Linked DNA regions of Oryzias latipes. The protein of the gene in region 4 purifies or fractionates together with the protein of the main gene of each other region. This does not show direct contact. Links are inferred from orthologs where the notes say so. Each region holds a gene or a part of one and is shown on either strand. Other genes may lie near its edges. The genes, in order: nup85, nup98, nup107 and seh1l.

Region 1 (5,458 bases), on a different chromosome or scaffold from region 4:
GGCTTTTCCTAAAAATACGCCCGTTTCTGTTAACAGTTTTAATCACTTCAATTCTTGCTAAATCCCAATGGGCTGATATGATGCATGCTCAAATTATGAAGCTATCGCCGCCATGCTTCACTGTAGGCAATTTCTGGGATATTAAATGTGTGTTTTAATTTCTAATCTGGCACCAAAATACATTTTAGTCATTTAGCAGCACCAGATTAATAAATTGGTGCAAATGTTTCAACTATATGATATAAAATGTTTCAATAATTTCTGTTCTTTATTTTTTAGATCCTCCTGGGTGATGAAGACACTTTACTGGAGCACAAAGACCTCCTGGGAACCTGGTATCACTTCCTTGTCTCAAGACTGCTGTTCTGTCATCCCACTGTAAAGCCCACTGAGTTGCACTACTATGCACAGGTGAACTATTCTACAAAACTTGCACTCATGTCTGCTGCATCCAGATATTAAGTGTACCTGTGTGTTTTGCAGTCGTGTATGACCATGTTTCTGGACTCAAGGAGCGCACCAGAACCTCTGGACAGCATCTTGCTGGCTGCCTTTGAGTTTGACATCCATCAAGTTATTAAGGACTGCAGGTGCAACAATGGGACTGATGCATGCAAGTACACTTATTTTAAATCTACTTTAAACATTCAATTTCTTCCTTTTGCCTCAGCATCGCTCTCAACAACTGGTGGTTTGTGGCTCATCTGACAGACCTGCTGGATCACTGCAAACTCCTCCAGTCTCACAATCTACAGTAAGAACCCTGTGTGCAGATTTAGTTTTTTAGTCTGGAGGTTAGGACTTCTTTTATTCAGTGTTTTTCTGTGTTTTTGCAGCTTTGGTTCCAATTTAAGAGAATTCCTCCTGTTGGAATATGCCTCTGGCCTCTTCACTCATCACAGGTTGGTTTGTTTTTTAAGTCCTCCTTTTAATTATTTGAATTTTTCTGTGAAGGTTTTCCCTTAAAGGATGTCTTTTTGTTTGTCTGTTGATCAGTCTGTGGCAGTTGGCTGTGGATTACTTCGATCACTGCCTCGAGTTTGGTCGTGTCTACCTTGAGCTCCAGATTGAGCGCGTTCCCTTAGACACGGAGCGGAAAGCACTGAAGGTCCTCCGCATTTGTGAACAGAGGCAGATGTCGGAGCAAGGTTCTAAAAGACTCTTTATTCTGTAATCACCTTGGTTCCAGAAATACCATTCAAGTTGAACTTTCTTTCGTTGAGTTTGGCATTTGAAATGTGTTTTTTGTTTGTGATCCAGTACGGAGTATCTGTAAAATCATGGCCATGAGGGCCTTAAGAAACAACAGACTTGGCTCCGCCCTTTCCTGGAGCATCAGAGCCAAAGATGCAGCGTTTGCCACCCTCATCTCTGAAAGGTTGGCTTCTCTTTACAATCTGCACCTTTGTCTTTGATCATTGTTCTGTACATTTAACTTTTAGCTTCACCAGACGTCCAGAAATGGACGTTTTTCTGAGCCGCAGAGTTATTCAAGTTTTCCCTCCTTTTTTCTCAGCTTTTAGATGTAAATCAGTTAAATCACAAATGGTTCTCAAAGCTCTGTTTAATTTGTTGTATTTTTGTCAACCTTTATTGTGTATTCTAAACCTAAAAAGACATCACTGTTTGGTAGGGGTGTAACGGTACACAAAAATCTCAATTCGGTTCGGTTCAGAATTTCATAGGGCTCGGTTTGATATATTTTCTGTTTGTTTTTTTGGTACAAAAAGACAGAAAAAAAATTCTTGCAAAATGCGTTGATTGGTTTTATATAACAATAATAAAATTAATCTATGTAGGTGATCTGCTACATAAAATAATACAACTATTAGCTGTCAGGAACCAAGAACTTTGGATTTTAACACTGGCCTGAAAAAAAAACATTTCTTACCTTTTTTAATTGCGTTAACATATTAGATGCATTATCTGTGGCATATGCTATCTTCATGTAACAATAAAATGTCGAAACGCAGCATTCGACTTATCCAGTTGTCTTTTCCCACACACAAGAGCGTAAGGAGAAATGGGGGGGGGGTCCTTCAGCTCTGGCCTCGCGTCTGCATGATACTGTTGACACGCTCACTGTCAACTCCGTCACCTAATGGCTGTTGAACCTCCTGCAATGAGGTTTCTGAGGCGTAATCGGAAAACCCAGAGGAGATCCTCTACGCCGGAGGCAGAACAAAAAAAAACGTAAAACCGAAACGCTGCAAAAGTGATCCAAACAAAAATTGCCGTACCGAAACGGTTCAGTCCGACTACGTGTACCGTTACACCCCTACTGTTTGGGGAAATAAAACAAATTGACATCTTTCTGTTTTTGTGTCAGATTTTTACAGGATTACTGCGCCAAAGGGACCTTTTCTGATCTGGATTTGATCGACAACTTGGGTCCAGCCATGCTGCTAAGCGACAGGCTGACTTTTCTTGGTACACACTTAAAATACACTTGAATTGTTGTTCCTCCTCCTGCAGAACCTATGAATACTCATTGGGCAACAGCATTTTATTTTTCATTTCTAGGTAATTGTGGATAACGTTTGTCTGCTTGTTTAGGGAAGTACCGCGAGTTTCACAAGCTTTACGGGGAGAAGCGCTTCAAGGAGGCTGCAAAGCTGCTCCTCTCCCTCATGACGGCCAAGATTGCTCCTCGGAGCTTCTGGATGACCTTGCTGACTGATGCGCTGCCTCTGCTGGAGCAGAAAGAGGTCAGCTAACATCAAGTTTCCAGCTTTTGTGGAGCAGTTTTTACACTAAACAAAGAATAAAACCCAACTGAGATTTTCAGCCAAAGTTTTCTTCAAATGTTAAGTTGTATGGAGCCAAATCAGGGCCATTAAGATTTCAAACCCAAATAAAACAACTTGAAAATTCAAGCTAAAATATTGGTGTTAAGCTAAAAAAAAATTAAAGTGTCCGAAACTTTCTGCAATTCTAATAGAAACATAATTATTTTCACCTTCAAATTTTCTGTTTTTAAGTTTCAAAACTCAATTTGAGTTTCAAATCTTTTTTTCCACTTTCAGTTTCGAATCTTTTAGAAGTTTCAAACTGTGTTTTTTTATTCTATCACATATAAAATTCAATATAGGAATTTTCTGTCTGTAAAATCATGAAGTATTTGAATATTTTTGTTTGTAACACACTCTTTTAAATTATCCCATGAGCTTTTGTTTCGTTATTTTGTGAATCAAAAATCATTTCCTAATGACATTGTTGGTATTTAGCAGCCTTAAGCACCAAGCTGTAGATTGTTGCATTTTGATGCAAGAAAAGCTATAAGATATTGACAAAAGCGCCTTTTTAAATGTTTTTATTGGTTTATTTATTTTTTATAAAGGTGATCTTCTCAGCGGACCAAACCTATGAGTTGATGTTCTGTTTAGAGGAGCTCACTTCCTCACTGAACACTCCATCTTCAGACTCGGACAAATCCATGCAGGTACGAATTTCATCCTTTCCAGCCTCTGAAACTTTCATGTAACCTTTCAAAGTAAGAGTTTTTCCCTGTTTGGCTTTGTAAAGCAGCTTTTATTCCCTGTAAAATGTACATCTCTAAATGTTTGAAACTTTGTTTTTGAAGAAATATACTGGATTTGTGAATGGGAAGTTGATTTAAACACTTTATTATATCTATATTCGTTTAGGAGGAAGATGTAGAGTTGACCAAAGTGGAGCTCCTGAGACTCGCGCTATCAAGAAACTTGGCAATGGCCATAGTCAAAGAGGGAACGGTGGAAACATGAAGTACACCCCCTCATTCTTTTCCATGATGTACATAAAATCCAATAACTTTTGTGACTTTTGATAATAAAAAAATTCTCAACCTAAATCAGCTTTTTTATTCATAATGATGTACTTCAAAAGGGGAATATCAAACATCAATACTCTTTTATTTTCAAGCAGCAGACAGATGGCACATTACATTTCCATAATTTACAGTAAACAGACACATCTCACAATATTTACATCAAACACACTTCTGTACATCCGCTCCAACATGACTCGATACCCTTTTGCTCTCACATTTTGATATCCTAAGAAAACGTGTGTTGGACAAATTCTGCTCATGTTACAAGATGCATTCACTGCCAAACTGCACAGTAAAATATTTCAGTCTCAAAATAAAACCTTTCAAACTGCCAAAAAACAGAGCAAACCAAAATTCAGTGATTTAAAAACGCACATGAACATATACCTGAACATATACCAACAATGGGAGGAAAATCAGTGCTTTCATTCCAGGCTAAGGCTCTAACAAATGAAATCACTTTCCCCTCACATTTCATAAAATAAAAATATTTAAAAAAAACAAACAACTGAGTTTAAATGGCTCAATCTGAAGCAGTGAATTCATTGAGCTAGCAACAACAGCTAGTTGAACCCTGGAGAATCTAGAAAGAAATGCATTCTGGTTGAATATTTTCCTGAAACAATATGACACATTATTTGTACTTTTAAGAACTTTCACATGTCTACAGGTATGTAAACATTTTACAGGAAAAAATATTGCAAACATTGGTTCTAAACTTTCAGTCTGACAGTCTTCAAACTCTGCTTTCAGATGCATTCAAGGCTCAGATTTATCTCTGGAAAACCTCTTTTAGAAGTTTCTGGATTTTAGCATTTTTATTTAGTTTTATAACTGCACAAAGGATTCTTTTAACCCCACAGTGCTAATAACACTGAGAAAAAATGAACACATATTAGAAATGTAAAGCTAAAAAATGGACATCTTTTCATCTTTGTCTGGAATGAAGGGAGCCCACAAACACCCTTTCAATGAGTGTGGATTATTCACAGCACCACTCTGCTATAGGTGTCCCCATGTTTCTGGTGGGGGGAAATGGTTCACCTCTCCTACTTCGTAGTACAGACGCTCTCCAAGTGTGAAAGACAGCTTGTAGCGCAGGCGCACCTTTTCCTGTGGGGACAGAAACTCTTGTTTCTATAGGATGAAAGTTTGCCTTTGGTCACGGCTTCCTCTTTGTGTTACCCACCTTTGCTGGGTTGGCCAGCAGCATGATCTGAGTGATGGAGGCGGGAGGCAGGATGGGGTTGAAAGGGGCCAGTTCAGCTCCCGATGGAGGCTGCAGCTTTACCTTCATTGACTAGCAGAAGATTAAAACAGACACAGTGTGAGTTGTTGAAGGTTTCTGAGGCTCTAGTTGATTCTCTCATCACCTTTGGCACAGCAGCTTGCAGGACAACATTGTGAACAGGCATGGGTGCTGTGTTGAGCATGGACACCACCATCACCAACACGTCAGGCCTCCCAGGAGGAGAATCTGACGCAAAGTTGATGAGCACACGAACCCCATCTTTATCATAGGCAGTAACAGGTAAGACTTTACCTAAAAGCAGACAAAAATTAACAATTAGGCTTAAGAAATGATATACTTCTATGCTTGGCATCTTTGTTGTTCTCACTGGGTTTGATGGCCTCCAAAGGAACGTG
Region 2 (5,604 bases), on a different chromosome or scaffold from region 4:
CAGAGTCTTGATGACTCTGATGTAGTCCAGGTAAACCCCCCCAGCCGTGTCCCAGTCCAGGATGGTGGCGCAGTGTTCAGGGACCGCCAGGCCCTCCAGGAACTCCAGCAGGTAGTCGTGCTTGTCGTTGATGATGCAGTCTGTGGAAAACAGAGCTGTGAGCCACAACTGAAACGTGAAGTTTGGACCTCCGGTTCTGATGAAGAGCGCTGTAATGAGTATCCAAATACCCGGATATGAGTGGGAGTCTTAGCGACATCCAAGATCTTTATACATCTAATGGGGTGTAGTAAAAAAATACTGAAGGCGATGCGGTCACCACTCTGAAAATGGAGACTCTTGTTGGATTTTTAGTACATGAAGTAAACTGAAAGCGTTTCTGCCACCGGAGGTAAATAACCCTTCAAAGTAAAGTGTTGGTAAAGCGTCTCTTTTTCAAAATAAAGCTATCGGGTGTTTTTTTAGTACATAAAAAAAGACTTAAATGAAATGTATAGAAAACAGATTAGAATAAAATTAGAATAACAAATGGGATGAATTTGAATTTAGGAATATAAAAAAAATCCTAAAAACACTAAAGAAGATGATCTCATCTCATGTCTTCCATCCACTCAGATGTTGCTGTGTCGTCATCCATCAGCAGAACTTTGACAAGAACATTTTCAGGATTTGCTGTAAAATGATCCAAAGCAACAGAAACATTTGGGTTTTGTTTACTCCTGAAGTTAACCAGGAAGATGACAGTTTGAGTGAGACATTGTTTTAAGTCAACACCTTATTTTTCCTAAATCTTTTCATTTTCATCTTTTATGTTTTGTTGATTTTGATCTGCTGTTCTAGAGAAAGGTAGAACTGATGGTGATTAAATAGATTTTAATTTGTTTTCATCCAGTAATAAGAGTAAGAATCGCGGTTCGATCTGCAAATTGTTGATCTTGATTCGTGAAGTGATCCACGGCTCTACTGATGAGCCTCAGACAGAAACTGGAACAAAGAGGGAACGTGACCCTACGACCCACTAGCGAGAGCAGAGAGCCGTTTGGACGGTTCAGGAGAGGAACTTGAGTGTTGAACAGAACGAAGCTTCAGTCAGAGCTGCTGGTGTTCAGAGAAGCCTTTAAACTCTATGCTTGCACGTCTGTAGGTTAACAGAGGTCCATCAAGAGTTCTCCCTCCTTCATCAGGTTCCTCAGCGACATTACTGCTGCTAAACTCAGCATCTGTCTCCACCTGCTGGAAGCTTTGCAGATGAAGACCGATGCTGGAACCTGTTGGTTCTAAGAACCCTCGGCATCTGTTTCAGCAAAAGCATGATGGAAGATGTGGCCTGCAGATGGCAGCACTATTGTGGTTCCACTTCCTGTGGCAGTGGTTCACGAATGATATTGGATGTAAATCTTTTTTTATTGTAAAATCAGTAAAGGAGTTTTTGTGGAATCTGGACCGTTGTTGTGGTTCTGTGCAGTAAATGTTTGCAGAAATTCCTCCCAATTTGGGTCACTTCATTTGAACTCCGCTCCAAACATCAGCTCACCCACCTGAGGCCAGGTGTTGGATCAGCAGTCGGTGGCACTGGTTCCAGGAGCCGGCCCGGTACAGGTGCAGGGCCTGCTGGTGTCTGTCGCAGTGCCGATGGGCTCGGGTGGCCTTTGCCAGGTGGATCCACGGCTCTGGGACCAGCAGCTGCTCGGTCAGGAAGCGTTCCCTCTGCAGGGACTGGTCCGACTCCTCCAGGGGGCAGTGCTGGCTCAGCACGTGCCTGACGGCGCGCTCGCGCTCACTGAGGACGCAGAGCGTTTAGTCAGAGCTTCCTACAAAAGCCACTGCAGCGGCTGCGTTTCCAGTTTGCGTGCACGTGCGGTCGGACACCTACGCGTGGTCGGGGATGTGCAGCAGGATGTAGACGGCCATGTGCCAGAGGCCGGCGCTCTCCAGCTGTGCGGCGTAGCTGGCGTGGAGGAGTCCCTGCCGCGCGGCGCTCAGGTGACTGAAGTTCAGCGCCTGCAGGACGCCCCACAGGTGCCAGCTGAGCCGGAAATCCAGGCGCTGCCAGGTAACGGTCAGAGGCTCCAGCAGCTGCTGCAGGCCGTAGTGTCTGTGGGGGTGGGGGGGTTAGAGGGTGAATGGGACTCAGACTCCAGTCAGGTGAGGCTTACCTGTCGCTGTAGAGCTTCAGCAGGTGGAAGCACAGATCGTACAATGGACGATTAGACTCTTCCTCCTCCTCCTCCTCCTCCTCATCAAAATGTTTTGCCTCCAAGTAGGGGGGGAGGGGGGCGCAGGAGTACTTCCCCCCCTCGGCTGAACCCTGCAGGAACAGCAGAGTGAGTTGACCTGCGGGAGGAACGGAAACGTTGCAGGTCAGCAGCAACTCACCTGGAAGGCAGCTTCGTACTTGGCGAGGGCGTCGGCCACGGACGCCGTGGGGGGCAGCATGTACCAGAGGTGGAGAGCCACGCAGCGCTTCCAGTCGAGCTGTGAGCACACGTTCACCACAGAGTCCGAGGACTGCCACACCTGCAGGGAGAATCTGCGCTCAGAAGACCAGAGTCTGGGCTGCAGGGTTTTCCAAAGGCGGAGCGCGTACCGGTTTTCCGGCGAGCAGAGCGTAGATGCGAAGCCGTTCCTCCGTCAGGTAGCAGTCCGTATGAGTGCGGCTCCAGTCGGCGAGCTGCAGTCCCAGCAGGTCGCGGCACATCTGAGAGCCGGCGGCCTGAGAAAGCAGCAGGGACAGACGGTGGTCTCCTGCAAACAAACAGGCGTAAGCCCCGTGTTCTCCTGCTGGTCCAGCTATGAAGGGTTACGGTTAGTCTGGAGCGTGAAGCCTCCTCATTATGGTCTAAAACCATAACGACAACAGGTTCAAGCAAAGCTGGACTTGACCAAGTCAAAACCATCCAGACCTCCTTAGGACTCAACCAATCATCGGACAGGCCGATATTTGTTATTTTGACATATGACGGCATCAGGATTTCTTTTATTTTATTTTTATAAATCAGACGAGCTGATTTTGAACCAATTATTTTGGCTCAGGATCTAAAACCAAAACACATTACACCCCTGCCCTGAATGGTGGTGGAGGGAGTATTTTTACGTATAACAGTTTTGCTAAACATAAGGATTTATTTTTCGTCCCATTACATTCCCCCAGGCTTAGTTTTACCACAGAGGTTTTTCTTCTTTTTTTCCCTTGCATAATAAAGCTTTATTTTTAGTTTTTTTTTGTTGCTTTGGATAAACTGCATTGAAACCACACAAAACCAAAATAGAGGTTTCCCCTATAGTTGGGAAAGGTAATCATTGCATTTCTAGTTTGAAGGATCCCTCAAACACAGCGGAGGGGAAAGGTTTTCTGGTGTGGAGAAGCTGTGCAGATGGTTCATAGGTCGTCTAAAGAAACCCAGAAAACTCTCCTGTAGTGATGAGGACCAGGCCTGTGCCTTTGACCATAATGTCTTTTACCACTGTCAATCATAAGTTGAAAAATGAAAGACTGCCCTCCCCGTACTGAGAAAGAAGCGAACAAAACTGTGCTCTACTACTAATAATAATCAGCATTGACCCTCAAAAACCACATCGGACGATGTCTATTCCTTAGTGCTCTTTCTGGCGGCGGTTCGTCTGTGGTTCTGGCTCTGCAGGTTCTGCTGAACTCACCTTCTTTCTGGGCGAGTCGACATGCCTCGCTGATTCGGTTTCCTGTCAGGTAACTGAAGATGGCGTCTGCGTGGCAACCCTTTCCTGCCACAGACACCTCCTCCTCCACCCTGTGGGTGGCGCCGGACGACAGCCAGGCGGAGAAGCTCCTCCTCCTGGCAAGTTGCTGCTCATACTGGCTGGGCATCTCAGCATCAGCTTCCACGTCTGCAGGGCCCAGGCGGCCCCACAGGGCCTCACACAGAGTCCAGACCTCAGCCCAGTGACCCAGGAGGGCTGCAGGGGGACAGAGGGTCAGATGGAGCATTGTAGGAGGCGGAGCCTTTCTACAGCTGTGACATTGTCACTCACGCTCTGCGCCGCCTTCTTTCTCCACCAGCTCTGTGATCCACTCGGCGTAAGCGTGCAGCGCGTCCACACCGGGCCGTGGCTTCACTAGAGGACAGTCGGACCCGTCTGGAACACTGACAGTGCTGTACTTCAGGCTGATTTCCAGGGGGCGTTGCAGCACGGTCTGGTCCTCGTCGTCCTCACTGGTCTTACCCTGAAGAGGATCTAGACCCACCAGCTGCTCAAGAACCACCTTGTACGGACTTTCTGTCAAACTGAAACCAAACATCAGGATTTGGAGTCACAAAGATGTCTTTGCTCTCTTCAGCGCTCTGTGGGAACCGGCGCCCTCCAGAAAAGACTATTTAATGTTTCCACAGTTTGGTGTTTTCTCCTGCTGTTATTTTCAGGTTAAAGCTACGTGGCGTGTGACCCAAATGTAGCCCATTACTAGCCCATGTTGCCACCTACAGTTGGAAGAGGCTTGTTGCAAAAAGTGGGCAAATCTGGTCAGTCTTGCTCCAGGCTTTTTCTTTCTTACATATCTGAAAGACTTGGCATCAGAATTCGGAGCAACCACAAACCACAATTATTAATTTCTCCTCTTCTGTGAATTAAAAAGGACATCAACCAAATTTGAAACCCTGGTTGGTCATATATGGTTATATTTTTAACGTTTGTTCGATGGTTTTGTATGTAAAGGCTGAAAACGGTCTTAAGCATGAACACAAGAGATTGGAACGCTGAAACGCGCATTTACGTGCGCTTACATAGACTTTTCTTTGGAGGTGGAGGCTTGATCACGCAATGCTGAGGGCGAGGTGAACACAGCTGAAGACTTCTCAGTTCAAACGAGAAAAATAGCTAAATCTATTCTGCATAAAGGAGTTTCTGCATTTTTGCTTGTCATTTCGACAGTTTCCCATAATGCTTAGCGTCAGCGTCGAACAGGATCAGGATTTGTGCACAGCAGTGAGTCGACAGCAGCTTAAAGATGAGGGACAAGCAGCCTTACGGTTTGGTCCGGGCAGCCTTTGGCAGGAAGCTGAAGTCGGCCAGGCACAGGTCTCTGCTTGCCCCTGGTTCAGATGTCGGAGAGCTGAGTCTGCTGCCGCAGTGGGCCAGCGTCCAGCCGGGACCCCAGCCCACCCTGAAGGAGCGGCCAGCAAATAGCCCCGCGTCCATCAGCAGGCCTCCCTGTACAGAGAAGACACAGATGACGCTCCTCCCCAGCACCTCCTCTTAGGCGTCCTCCATGAAGTACAGGTACCCACCTTCCCCTGAGTGACGGACTCTTTCAGAGGGACAGGTCCGTCCAAGCGGCGCACTCCGACCGTCCTGATTGGGGGCTCTGTCGTTCGAGGGGGGAGCATAAAAGAGGAGGGGCCCAGGCCTTTCCACTGCACTGAGCGGGGGGGTTCCGGTCCCACTGGAGACGCTCGAGGGGGAGGGCGGAGCGACTCAGAGAGCTGACCAGTAGAGAAGCGAGTCTGGAAGAGTCCACCAACTGCAGAGAGAAAAGGATCAGACCCAGGGCGCCAGCAGAACCAACCCTGGGAGGGCGGGGTGTAGCTCTTACCAGAGGGTCGACTCAGAGATGCTGGCATGGCGAGGCGT
Region 3 (5,821 bases), on a different chromosome or scaffold from region 4:
CTAAAGTACATTTTCATCCTAATGTTCTCCCTGCACTCAGATGTTTGCAGCTTCATTTGGCTCCAAAATGTGAATTAAAAAACACAAACTTTGACCAAAACTTTCTCAAATGTGTGATTCAGAAGAAATGCTTCGGGCACCTGTCTGTCGTCGACCATCCATCCTCCGTCTACGAACAGCAGAACGTTGTAGATCCTCTCCTTCACGTCTTCAGTCAGGTTGTCTAGGCGACAGGACCAGACGCTCAGGGCGTCCTGACATCCACCCCCACACACACACAAAAGGATGGTTAGAACTTTTAGTCAATGTTTGTCAGGGTTGGAACAGAAATCCACCCCAGCTCTGATCATTTTTCCACAGATGCCCAGCAGCCAGAGGCATCGCTGAGAAAGACGGGGTTGTTGCAGTGACCTAAGACAGAACATCCATCCCAACCACAACCAGCAGCTTTTATGGGCAGCTTTGTGCAAAAGTCAGATCAGGTCAGGAGAGAAAACCGATGCGGAACAACCGAACCGGATCAAACGCTCCACCTAATCTGATCCTCTGCTAATAATCCTAGGATTAACCTGATTTATGGGGTCCAGTTCTTTATTTAGTAACCAAACCTTTGAGCACGCATAGGTGTTCGTTTATTTTTTTATTTTAAAAACCCAGTTATTAATAAACAGTTTTTGGGTAACGTTGAAATAAGAGTAAATATCGGAAATAACTCTTAAAGCTTTCATTAAAAATCTTTCAATTAAAAAAAGATACCACGTTCTTTAAACACTAGAAGAAAAGTTTAAGACATTAAACCAACATAACGTATACATATCTGATGTGGGTATAGATTTTTTGCCTTTTTTACTAACGTTTAAATGATAAAGTTTGTGAAACGTAGCCTACTTTACCTTAGGAGAACAACAGTCAGATTTACACAGAAGCGAATGCAGACTGGATAGTGAGCCACCTAGTGGTTACACTGTAAACTGCGTCGGTGTTTTCCTGCTTTACAGAGTTTTTGTTCATTTATTCTCAACAAAACAGCAGAAATATATAACATGACACTCCAGACATTAAACAACACAACCTGTTAACCTTCCTCTATGCTTAAAATCAGCAAATTGACAACAATCTGCCTCTTCAATGCATCACACCATGGTGCCTCTGAAACGTCAGCGGGTGGAAAAATCTTCAGGAAAACTTCTAAAAGAACCTTTTACTGGGAACCACCTCCAGAACAGTTTGTGAGCGAATCTACATAAACACATTCACAAAAATATGAGAGGTTTTTCTCTGCATTCGTTCAATTGACGGTCTCCTCAGACCGTTTCAGGACTCAGAACCTCCATGAAAACCCTTTCATGAAGTCTGTGATTCTCCAGGTTGATACAGAAACGTGTACCGGTTATTGCATACCTGGTACTCCTTCTCCTTCATCTCATTGGCCACTCTTTCCGTGAACTTGACCTCGGGGGCGGGCACCGGCTTCTGGGGTGGAGAGCTGCTGTGGCTGAACCAGTCAGTGAAGGCCTCGTGGGCTTCCTGTCAGAAACAATCACATCCTGTTGGTCTGCCTAACACAAATACACAAAGAGGTCTTCTGCAGGCATGACAGACCAGGTAGGCTCTGATGCACAGGTGCTCCCTGACGGCGTTCTCGCCCTCGGCGGGTAAAGGCGTGGTCTGACCAACCCCCGTCCACTGGGAGTAAATCTCCCTCATTGAGTCTTCTGGGACCTTGGAGAACACGGCTTTGGCTGCATCGTGTTTCTGCAGAGCTGAAAGGCAGGAAGCGGCCTCAAAAGGCGGGAATCCATGTGACGGGGCGTCAAGATTTAATAAAGTTACCCAGAAACTTCCTCATGATGGCGTTGGACTGCTTAAGGGCCTCAGCGCGGTGGGCGGGGTCAAACAGCAGCCAATCGATGACGTCAATCTTCTTTTGGTCCTCCTATCAGAGAGCAGATTCACATTTGGAGCTTTTTATGTTGGGCAGTTTTAACCTCAGAGATTAATGATGACCTTTGAGTTTCTGATGTCTAATCAGTTATTTACCAGAATGGATTTGTGGCGGCTTTTCTTTTGGTTTTATCTCCATAGCAACACTTATTTTCTGGTTGCCTCTGGGCGGCACAACTCTGTAGTTTTTAGAAGAATCTGAAAAAACTAAACTTTTGGATTTTCTTGGCCACTGAGGTTTTCTGTTAACCACAGCCACATTCCTAATATGATCATATCGAATGTCATATTCCATAGGAACGATTCGCCTATTACTTCTTCACAACATTCTGATTAAAAATGTGCATTTTCCCCTCAAGTAGCTTCCCAGCGACGCTTGGAGTCGTGAGGCCGCATACAGAAATCTCCATGGGAAGTTTAGATTTCTAGCTGGTACGAAAAGGCCATTTTTATGGATAATTCAAGATGGCGGCCTCTCGCCGAGGTCAGAAACTTCAGCTGTGGCTGTGCCGGTATGTCAGTGGAATTCTGTGTAGATCGTTTGAGCAAACGTTTTCCATATTCTGCGAAAATGTAAAAATGTCTGCTTTTTAAAAAAAAATGGATTCTCCCAGCGTGATGTCATTATTGGGGGCGGGCCTTAAACATGTCAATAATTACCTTGCATAAGGTGCTGGGGGTGAGATTTTTCCCTCAAAGGCACAGTAAAAACAGAAGAATTGCTAAAACAATCTGGTAATATTGAAAATAATAAAAAAACTAAGAACATATTTTTTATTTTGTGTTCATTTTTGTGCGTTTCTACCTTCGTGGTTCCAGTTTCCAGCGCCTGACTGTGATGCGTGAACTCCGTCTCATCGTGTTCTCGGACCGTTTCCACCACCAGCTTGGTTATGGCGGAGACGTCCAACCCCGCCTCCCTGGCGAGCTGCAGGCATTGCGGCCGCAGCTCCGGCTGCGTGACCGTCTCTAAGAAAGCGGCGTACTGAGCGGTGGCAAGCTCGGCGGGAAGCTGGCCCACGTAGCTCGCCACCAGGTCGTTGTGCTGGTCCCGGATGAGGAGGGAGACGTACGCCTTCAGCACGTCAACGCACACCTCCTCCTGACAAACACAGGTGAGGTCATCTCAACGACGCCACTAGAAACGACTTAGAAAGACGCCGACAAGTTTACCTTCAAAGCCAAACCCAGAGAGCGGAAAAACAGCACCAGGTGAGTCATGAAACGCAGCAGGTGGAAGGGGAGGGGCTTTGAGGCCGTCAGCCAATCGGAAAACTCCTCCAAAAGACCTGATGGAGACAGAAGCAGACTAAGCTAACATCATCCGTAGCATCATCAGGTCCAGAGGGGCGGCGGCCTTACCGTCCAGGTCTTCTAGAATGATGAACTTCTGGATGACGTGGTAGTGTTCTTTAGTCTCATCCAGGACCCTCTAATCCCACAGAAGAAAGAGAAAACGGATTATGATCTTCAAGGTTTCACTTAATGGTCATTTGAACAGAGTCTGACCTTTGATTCTGAAGCTTGGAGCTCCTCAAACACCTTTTCCATGGTCCAGCTGAAGACAGAAGGACAGTAAATGACAGGAGGGGTTTCACCACATTCACCTGCTTCACTTCTATGACTGTTGATTGACACTTGGGCGATGTGAAGGTCAACCGTTCACAGGGACGATTCTTACCGTTTCATAGATTAGGTCTGAATGGTTTTAATGTGTACGTTTTTTGCACTAATATGTATTTTAATCGCCGTCATTGAAACCTGTATTTAGAAAGGCAGATCACAATCAACAAAACAAATAAAAGTTCAACGATTTAGAAAGAAAGAAATGTTTTTTATCCCTTAATTCAATCTCCCACTCAACTGTTTTGCGTCAACTTCCTGGTTGACTTCAGCAGCAAACAAAACATTAGCTTCATTAGCTGTGTTTTTAAAATTCTGAAAATGTTGGAAAAACACAATTTCACAATAACACTTTTTTCATTAAATCATAATTATGTGAATAAACACAAACCAAGTCACACGATAAGTCGTTCAAAAACATGGATGTGAACAATCCTTTGATTGACAGCAGATACTTTCACATTTCTGCTCTAGCGCTCATCATCATCTACCAAAGGAGACGTCGGCGTCTTCTTCAGGCCATGGAGCGGCGAGCTCCTTACACGTGGGAGGGGCTACGGATGAAGTCATTTTGGGAAATGGTGGTTGGTGGTTTTCCAGGGGATCTGTGGGACGTCTGGTGGCGCCCGCTGTGCAGCAACCATGGCCGTCAGTGGAATTTAAATGTTGATCAAATGACTATTTTAATTTAAAAAAAAAGTGTTTCCATTGCAATTTAGCAAGAAAAAAATGTTTTTTTTTTAATTTTTTTAAACTTATTTCACTAAACCGAACTTCAGTCTTGTTGTTTTTTTTTTGTTTTTTTTAATCTCCAAAAACACTTTGATACTTTTACTTTGAAAAAAATAACCTTCACTGAAGATGCATTTACTTCCTGTGACAGCAGTGCATTTGGTTTGTTTAGTTTATATACCTAAAGTTCAGCGTTATTCAGCAGTTTACAGCCATTACTATATTCTTTGAAGTTAATTTTACTATATTTTATTTATAAAGATTACAATTCAGCATCTCGGACGCCAGAAATATTTGTACTTGTTTTTAGTGGATCAGATCGTGAGTATCCGGATACTCGTTCCAGCCCTGGAGGATTCATACTTGGCCTCCAGATATTCCCGCGGGAGCGTCTCCACCTCCTGGTGGGCCATGCCCGACGACAGCAGGTCCTTCTCCACCAGCGAGTCCACCGTCACTCTGAAGTACGCCCAAACGCAGTCCTCCCACGACTCGCACACAGCCAGAAGCTGACAAAAAACAAAGACTTAAAGACTCAGAATCAGAGCGACCAAACCCCACCCACTGGTTCACGCACCGGTCTGAGGTTCCCGCTCAGGCTGGCGTAGATGGCTCGCTCATATCGGTTCAGCTGCTCCTGAAACACAAACGGCAGCATATTTAAAGCTTCTCTGCTTTCCTGTCACGTCAGGAGCCGGTTTCTTCCTGATGCCGACCTCCTCAGCCAGCCTCCAGCAGCACGCCTTCCAGACCCCCCTCTGTGGGTTTCCCTCCACGGGCTGCAGCTCCGACCCGCCTGCAGGGAGAAGACAGACCGTCGTCTTCAGAACAAACACAGGAGGACAGGAGCTAATCTTTCTGCATGAGACGACGGCGGAGCTGCTGTTTCAATGAGATGACAGCCATTTAGTTCATAAAACTGCAAATAAAGTAACAAACGGAAGCAAATTGAAAATCCACCTGATGACGTGACAAAGTGGGCGTGGCTTTTTGAAACAAACTTGCTTCAAAACAGGAAACGTTTAGGATTCTTAAAATCCGTCAGCATTCGAATCAATAGAATCATGTTTCTATCAAATTTCACTTTTATCCGTGCCTAAATCATGTTTCACCTTTTGCGGTGTAGCAGATTCTTTAACTGCAATTCTGTGTGATTTTAATCTGTACATCCCGTGTCTCCTGTACAGATTGTGTTTTATTTGTCAAATCTACCCAAATCTTCGATCAGATCTTTTCTACAATCCTGGATTTATTTTCTTTTTTAACTTTGAGAGTTTAATAGACAACAGAGTGTGTTTATTAGTGTCAACAGTGTGAAGTGAGGAGTTTTTCAGCCTCAAAACATCTAGAATTGTTAAACAAAAGAATAGAGAAGACCACATGGCATATTTAGTGTATGCTGGGTTATTTTTAACTCCTGTGAGGATACCTGAAGTCATGTTGGGGTCGTGGTAGAGCTTCCAGCCTTCCAGCGTGGCCGCTCTCCAGGCCTGACCACAGCGTTTACACAACCTCTGAGCCT
Region 4 (6,497 bases):
AGTCTTGCTGGCACTTTTCTGTCACACAACACTCCTGACACTTTCCTCCAACCGCTCCAACCTGCCTGCACTCGCCTCCTCACCTCTTTTCCACACTCCCCATCACACTGAACTGTTGACCCCAAGTACTTAAACTCCTGCACCTTCTTCACCTCAGTCCCCTGTAACCTAACGCTTCTACCTTGATCCCTCTCGTTCAGACACATGTATTCTGTCTTACTACGACTGACCTTCATACCTCTTCTTTCCAGAGCAAACCTCCACCTCTCTAGCTGTTCCTCCACCTGCTCTCTACTCTCACTGCAAATTACAATGTCATCCGCAAACATCATTGTCCAGGGAGATTCCTGTCTTACCTCGTCTGTCAGCCTGTCCATCAGCATAGCAAACAAAAAAGGACTCAAAGCTGATCCTTGGTGTAGTCCCACCTCCACCTTGAACTCCTCTGTCTGACCTACAGCACATCTCACCACCGTCATACTTCTCTCATACATGTCCTGAACTACTCTGACATACTTCTCTGCCACTCCAGACGACCTCATACAGTACCACAGCTCCTCCCTCGGCACCCTGTCATACGCCTTCTCTAAATCTACGAACACACAATGCAGCTCCTTCTGACCTTCTCTGTACTTTTCCATCAACATTCTCAAAGCAAAAATGGCATCAGTGGTGCTCTTACGGGGCATGAAACCATACTGCTGCTCACAGATCTCCACCTTCTTCCTAAGCCTGGCTTCCACTACTCTTTCCCACAGCTTCATTGTGTGGCTCATCAACTTTATTCCTCTATAGTTGCTGCAGTTCTGCATGTCACCCTTGTTCTTAAAGATCGGGACCAGAACGCTTCTCCTCCATTCCTCAGGCATCTTCTCACTCTCTAGAATCCTATTGAACAACCTTGTTAGAAATTCCACTGCTGTCTCTCCTAGGCACTTCCATACCTCCACAGGTACGTCATCAGGACCAACGGCCTTTCCGCTCTTCATCCTTTTCAGAGCCTTCCTAACCTCATCCTTTCCAATCTCTGCTACTTCCTGCTCCACAACAACCACATCTTCCTCCCTTCTTTCCCTGTCATTTTCCTCGTTCATCAGCTCCTCAAAATACTCCTTCCATCTTTTCTGTACACTCTCTTGGGTTGTTAGCACCTTTCCATCTCTGTCCTTAATCACCCTTATCTGTTGCACGTCCTTCCCATCTCTGTCTCTCTGTCTGGCTAGCCTGTACAAGTCCTTCTCTCCTTCCTTTGTGTCTAACCTGTCATATAGCTCATCGTAAGATTTCTGTTTGGCCTTTGCCACCTCTCTCTTCACTCTACGCTGCGCTTCCTTGTACTCCTGTCTACCTTCCTCAGTCCTTTCTACATCCCACTTCCTTTTAGCCAACCTCTTCCTCTGGACGCATTCCTGTACTTCCTCATTCCACCACCAAGTCTCTTTACCGTCTTTCCTCTTTCCAGATGACACACCTAGCACCTTCCTACCTGTTTCCCTGATAATCTCTGCTGTAGTTTCCCAGTCCTCTGGAAGCTCATCCTGACCACCCAGGACCTGCCTCAACTTCTGCCTAAATTCCTCACAAGTTCCTAAATTCCTTTAAGACGTTTTGTTCCTGAAAGTATTTGGAGGAAAGCCTGGAGTGTGACCCACAAACTTATGATAAGTAATAAAATGAAAGAAGTTTCTCTTAAAATAATTCACAGAATTTACCCCACCAATCAATTCATGATAAGATACATTAAAACAATTGATCCTAATTGTCCTTATTGCAAAGAAACAATTAACCGCTTTTTTGGAATTTTACTGAGATTAGAAGTTTACAATTTATTGAAAAACAAATCCACCCCAACTTTACTCTGAAGTATGAATATATCATATTTGGTTTTCATAATAAAAACTTGGCCTCTAATAAAAAACTCATAATTAATCTTATTATTATTTTTGGCAAATTTTATATTCATAAACGTAAATTTCCTTCATCTTCTATTTTTTCCCCTTGTTAATCAAACAAATTGAAATGTATATCAGTAACATCTCCAAAAGTCTTAATCAGAAAGCTGTATGTTTATATGAAAGTTGTAGAAACCTGAATGTTTTTATGTAAAATGCATGTAATATGAATGCTCCCCTGGCATACCTGAAGTTTATTTTGTAAAATTGTGTTTTGTATTGTACTTCCGTTTTGTACAATAAAGTTAAACAAAAAAAGCAGGTCTCAAAGCTGGATGATTTCTGCGGTAGGCCTGCTAACGCGCTGGTGAAGCTATCGCTGGCGGCGCGCTGCTACCGGGATCATGTTTGTGGCTCGTAGTATCGCGGCGGATCACAAAGATCTAATTCACGATGTGTCGTACGACTTTCACGGCCGGAGAATGGCGACTTGCTCCAGTGACCAGAGTGTGAAGGTAAGCTAACGTTAGCCTCTGAGCTCGCGCCCGCGGTCCTCGACTGTGATGAACCGTTCCCGGGCTGCCGCGCGGCCATGTGTCACATTCAGAGCTCTGTTTGTTTTTCTGAGGTTTGGGACAAAAGCGAGAGTGGAGAGTGGCTCTGCACAGCCAGCTGGAAGGTAAAACGCCTCCATCCTCACGCCGAACTCCACCTTCTGTGCTGAACAGATGTGAGCCTCCTCCTCCTGGTTTCTCTCTGCAGACACACAGCGGCTCAGTGTGGAGAGTGACCTGGGCTCATCCAGAGTTCGGGCAGGTTTTGGCCTCCTGCTCCTTTGACCGAACCGCTGCGGTTTGGGAGGAGATTGTAGGAGAATCCAACGACAAGCAGAGAGGCTTGAGCCACTGGGTCAGTGCTGGGTTGGGAGCGGGCAGTTGCAGCGACAACCTGCAGCAGGTGGAGGTCATGTGAGTGTTTCTTGCTTCTCCATTCCAGATTAAGAGGACCACACTTGTGGACAGTAGGACATCAGTGACCGATGTGAAGTTTGCTCCTAAACACATGGGTCTGATGCTGACCACCTGCTCTGCGGACGGCGTGGTGAGGATCTACGAAGCTCCGGATGTGATGAACCTGAGCCAGTGGTCGCTGCAACACGAGATCTCATGCAAGCTCAGCTGCAGCTGCATTTCATGGAACCCCTCCAGGTTATATAGCTTTTTCATATTCTGGATGAGCTGACCAGACCATAAGTTTGATGGAGGTTCAGTTCTGCTCCATGTGTCTGTGAAGCTGGGCACAGAGTGTCATTCTAAGTTTCCACATGGCATTACACACAAACGAAGAGCACGTCTGCGCCACTGCCTGATGACAGGTCGGAGTGAAGGCAGGAGCGGCGGATTTCTGCTGAATCATCTCATCTCATCATTCTCTCCCAGCTCACGGGCTCACCCTTCCATGTTTGCCGTGGGCAGTGATGACAGCAACATCGCGAGCGGTGGGAAGGTTCAGATCTATGAGTACAACGAAAACACACGGTGAGCGTGTTCAGCACACAGCGGCCAGAGATGCAGCGGCCTCCTGACACTTCCTGTTTCTTCTAAAGGAAATACGGCAAAGTGGAGACTCTGATGACTGTCACCGACGCAGTCCACGACATCGCGTTCGCTCCCAACCTGGGGAGATCTTTCCATGTTCTCGCTATTGCAACAAAAGATGTCAGAATATTCAAGCTTGCCCCCATGAGGTGATTGTCATCATCATGTGTTCTGGTGCATTTCTCGAAGCACACAGCTTTTGAAATAAAAGGAGGAAGAAAATGAACAGAAAATGTGTCTTGGTTCTCTGGAACAGGAAGGAGAGCTCATCCACCGGACCCAGCAAGTTTGAGGTGCAGATTGTTGCGCAGTTCGACAATCACAACTCCCAGGTGTGGCGTGTGAGCTGGAACATCACAAGCACCCTGCTGGCTTCCTCTGGGGACGATGGCTGCGTGCGGTTATGGAAGGGTAAGAAGCTGGTCCACCTTCAGCAGGAACACAGACGGCTGCCGTCTGTCGGCAATCGTCTGCAGTGCAGCGACCGTTTTCTTATTTTCCTGAGATGGGTACATGATTAATAGAAACATGGCCTCCTCTGGAGGTTCAGTGTTGGACCTCTAATGCTGCGCTCACAAATTTGCGTTGGCCGCTTCAACTGGAACAAATGTCGGATTCGCTGCTGGCTACCTGTCCAAAAATAGGTTCATAATTGTGACGCATGTGGGAGGAGCTAATGTTTATTTGCCTCATGCGTCTTCTACATGAAAGCATTGACTGTATTTGTCGTTTACAATACATGGACGACACAGAAGTTGAGAGATCAAGTCAGTTTATTTTGAAGAGCTCTACTCTCGCTACCTGATGTGTCAACGCATGTGCGCAAAATACATAAAAGCATTTTACGGTCAGAGTATGTCTTTAAATATTAAATGATGATAAGCTCTTAAATGTTTCACAAAATGTACTGCATGTTAACATTTATTTTAATGTTAATGGGGGTAAAACATGGTAGGAAAAAGAAATGTACAGTAAACCCTTGTTTTTCGCGGGGGTTACGTTCCAAAAAGAACCCGTGATAGGCAAAATCTGTGAAGTAGAAACCTTTAATTTTTTTACAATTATTATATAATTAAATAGTCTATTATACATTGAAAAGAAATAACAAACCATTTTACAGGCTCAAGCATTTGTTTCACAAATAAAAGTACTTTAGAAACGTTTTTTTTTCAACAAATAACTTCTGTACTGTACTGTCAAATAATAATTTTAATCATCGATGTGAACAGAAGGCTTCAAATTGCGGAGATTAGCCCCACCCCCATGACCCAAGTAATTGGATTAAACGGGAGAAAATTTTAAAATGATTATGAATAAAATACAAAGTACAGTCGGACAAATAGTGACTCAGGTGTATTTCACTGCTCTGCAGACTGAGCCGCTGCATCCTGACTCCGCTCTGCAGTGTTTTCTTCTTTTGAAGCCCGCGGTGCAGCTGTGTTTGTTTGGGGGAAAGAACATAGTGATAGGAAGATGTTGTTTCTCTTTTTTCTATGGGTTTTAGAGAAACTCGAAATTGCAAGAGAATTTGCACGTACATAATGTAAATTTGGCAAGCTGTTTTATGTACGTGTACATATTAAACTGCAACGTCATTGACGCACAGTTAGAGAAGAAGCAGAGTGACTTTTTAGCCAATCAGAATGCAGAACACAATGAACCATGCAAATCTGTGAAGTAGCGAAACCGTGAAAAGTAAACCGTGTTATAGCGAGGGATCACTGTAACGGATCAGTACTGCCCACGCTGAAGTAAACATGGATTTCACCGCTCCTCGACTCGACTTGAATTGTTTGGGGTTGGGAAGTGTATGTACAGCTTCTCAACGCAGCCAGTAGATTGGCAGCTCAGTCGTTACCACCGCATACAGAGTGAAGCTCCAGTTAGGTCACTACACAATATTGTTCAAACCCCTACTTCCCTCCCCGTCTTCTTCTACGCCTCACAGCTACGCATTAGGCGCACCGCCTCATAGTGCGCCCCTATAGTTTGGAGAAAATGTGAGACTTTTAAGTCCACTTTATGGTCGTGAAAGTACGGTAAAAAAAATGTCGTCCTGGACAGCATTTTGAATCGATACAAATATCGCCAAATGAAATATCGCGACGTATCGCTAAATAAATTTTCCGTCAACCCCTAGTAATCACATCTCCATGTCTGGGTTTATCGGATCATTCAGAGACTCCTCCAGTACGTAGAGCTTCACCGTCTACTGCAGGAGCTGCGTCTGAATGCCTGCTGCTTTCAGCGGTTCTTCCACCTCTCTGTGACCCAGTTTGACCACTTGCTGTCCAGCATTAATCAAACTAGAGGACATTTCTGTTATTGTCTTAAAAGTAAAAAGAAAAATATAAAGTTCAGGAGGAGACCGATGAGATTCTCCTCCATGTTGGTTTTAGGCTCCACTTGCTGACATTAACACGTCATGTGCCAAAGCTGAGCCCCTGATTGGTTGACATGGCGTGAATTCTTCGCTTTAGATTTTTGATGCCTCATCACACCCAAATTTATGCTGCCGCCAGATCGATGTAACATTCCAGATGCTCATGTGGCACTGTAGGACCTCAGATCAGGACTGTATATTGGCATTGAACTGGATGCCCTTCATGTGTGAATCGTGTTTGAGGTGAATGCAGCTTTTGGTGTATTGAAGGTGTCCGCAGTTCTTCCCTAAGCTGTCCTCTGCATGAATGCTCTGCAGCAAACTACATGGACAACTGGAAGTGCACCGGCATCCTAAGGGGAGACGGCAGCCCGCTGAGCGCGTCTTCAGGTCAGCCCATCAGCACCATGGTGGGCTCTTCCCTCCTCTCCCAGAATGCTCTGAATGGGATATCAGCAGGAAGGTAGGTGGCGTGGTGCATCTGCGGCCACACCCCCTCGTTAAAGCCTGACTGCTTCGTGTGGGCTCACACTGACCCGGAGCTGCCACTGAAACAACTGAACCTGCCATTTGGACTCACACCGACCGCGCCTCCTGTAAAGAGCTTGGCTGTCGACATCTTTC

What was found.
Region 1: the proteins of seh1l (region 4) and nup85 purify together in Homo sapiens (affinity purification with western blotting; 4 studies listed by BioGRID and IntAct, with this or other methods). This does not show direct contact. The link is inferred for Oryzias latipes from reciprocal best matches to the Homo sapiens genes SEH1L and NUP85.
Region 2: the proteins of seh1l (region 4) and nup98 fractionate together in Homo sapiens (co-fractionation; 3 studies listed by BioGRID and IntAct, with this or other methods). This does not show direct contact. The link is inferred for Oryzias latipes from reciprocal best matches to the Homo sapiens genes SEH1L and NUP98.
Region 3: the proteins of seh1l (region 4) and nup107 purify together in Homo sapiens (affinity purification with mass spectrometry; 5 studies listed by BioGRID and IntAct, with this or other methods). This does not show direct contact. The link is inferred for Oryzias latipes from reciprocal best matches to the Homo sapiens genes SEH1L and NUP107.

The regions. Positions count from the first base shown.
Region 1 is NC_019866.2:13,013,269-13,018,726, reverse strand, and holds the end of nup85 (nuclear pore complex protein Nup85), read left to right. Parts: intron 1-279; coding exon 280-411; intron 412-483; coding exon 484-590; intron 591-670; coding exon 671-754; intron 755-836; coding exon 837-902; intron 903-996; coding exon 997-1,148; intron 1,149-1,260; coding exon 1,261-1,378; intron 1,379-2,329; coding exon 2,330-2,430; intron 2,431-2,556; coding exon 2,557-2,708; intron 2,709-3,340; coding exon 3,341-3,442; intron 3,443-3,647; coding exon 3,648-3,746; 3' UTR 3,747-3,832; downstream 3,833-5,458. Other genes in the region: ADP-ribosylation factor-binding protein GGA3, read right to left, coding at 4,814-4,924, 5,001-5,111, 5,185-5,354, 5,431-5,458. UniProt on the Homo sapiens protein: Essential component of the nuclear pore complex (NPC) that seems to be required for NPC assembly and maintenance. As part of the NPC Nup107-160 subcomplex plays a role in RNA export and in tethering NUP96/Nup98 and NUP153 to the nucleus.
Region 2 is NC_019872.2:23,867,215-23,872,818, forward strand, and holds part of nup98 (nuclear pore complex protein Nup98-Nup96), read right to left. Parts: coding exon 5,567-5,604; intron 5,495-5,566; coding exon 5,262-5,494; intron 5,185-5,261; coding exon 5,003-5,184; intron 4,263-5,002; coding exon 4,009-4,262; intron 3,934-4,008; coding exon 3,658-3,933; intron 2,746-3,657; coding exon 2,588-2,745; intron 2,518-2,587; coding exon 2,377-2,517; intron 2,309-2,376; coding exon 2,157-2,308; intron 2,096-2,156; coding exon 1,874-2,095; intron 1,781-1,873; coding exon 1,539-1,780; intron 141-1,538; coding exon 1-140. UniProt on the Homo sapiens protein: Plays a role in the nuclear pore complex (NPC) assembly and/or maintenance. NUP98 and NUP96 are involved in the bidirectional transport across the NPC. May anchor NUP153 and TPR to the NPC.
Region 3 is NC_019881.2:22,222,039-22,227,859, forward strand, and holds part of nup107 (nuclear pore complex protein Nup107), read right to left. Parts: intron 5,820-5,821; coding exon 5,729-5,819; intron 5,096-5,728; coding exon 5,016-5,095; intron 4,937-5,015; coding exon 4,877-4,936; intron 4,809-4,876; coding exon 4,663-4,808; intron 3,503-4,662; coding exon 3,454-3,502; intron 3,377-3,453; coding exon 3,307-3,376; intron 3,234-3,306; coding exon 3,118-3,233; intron 3,047-3,117; coding exon 2,750-3,046; intron 1,937-2,749; coding exon 1,834-1,936; intron 1,764-1,833; coding exon 1,603-1,763; intron 1,528-1,602; coding exon 1,402-1,527; intron 255-1,401; coding exon 141-254; intron 1-140. UniProt on the Homo sapiens protein: Plays a role in the nuclear pore complex (NPC) assembly and/or maintenance. Required for the assembly of peripheral proteins into the NPC. May anchor NUP62 to the NPC. Involved in nephrogenesis.
Region 4 is NC_019874.2:7,223,268-7,229,764, forward strand, and holds the start of seh1l (nucleoporin SEH1), read left to right. Parts: upstream 1-2,182; 5' UTR 2,183-2,296; coding exon 2,297-2,407; intron 2,408-2,520; coding exon 2,521-2,571; intron 2,572-2,654; coding exon 2,655-2,801; intron 2,802-2,888; coding exon 2,889-3,100; intron 3,101-3,331; coding exon 3,332-3,430; intron 3,431-3,498; coding exon 3,499-3,639; intron 3,640-3,746; coding exon 3,747-3,901; intron 3,902-6,191; coding exon 6,192-6,336; intron 6,337-6,497. UniProt on the Homo sapiens protein: Component of the Nup107-160 subcomplex of the nuclear pore complex (NPC). The Nup107-160 subcomplex is required for the assembly of a functional NPC.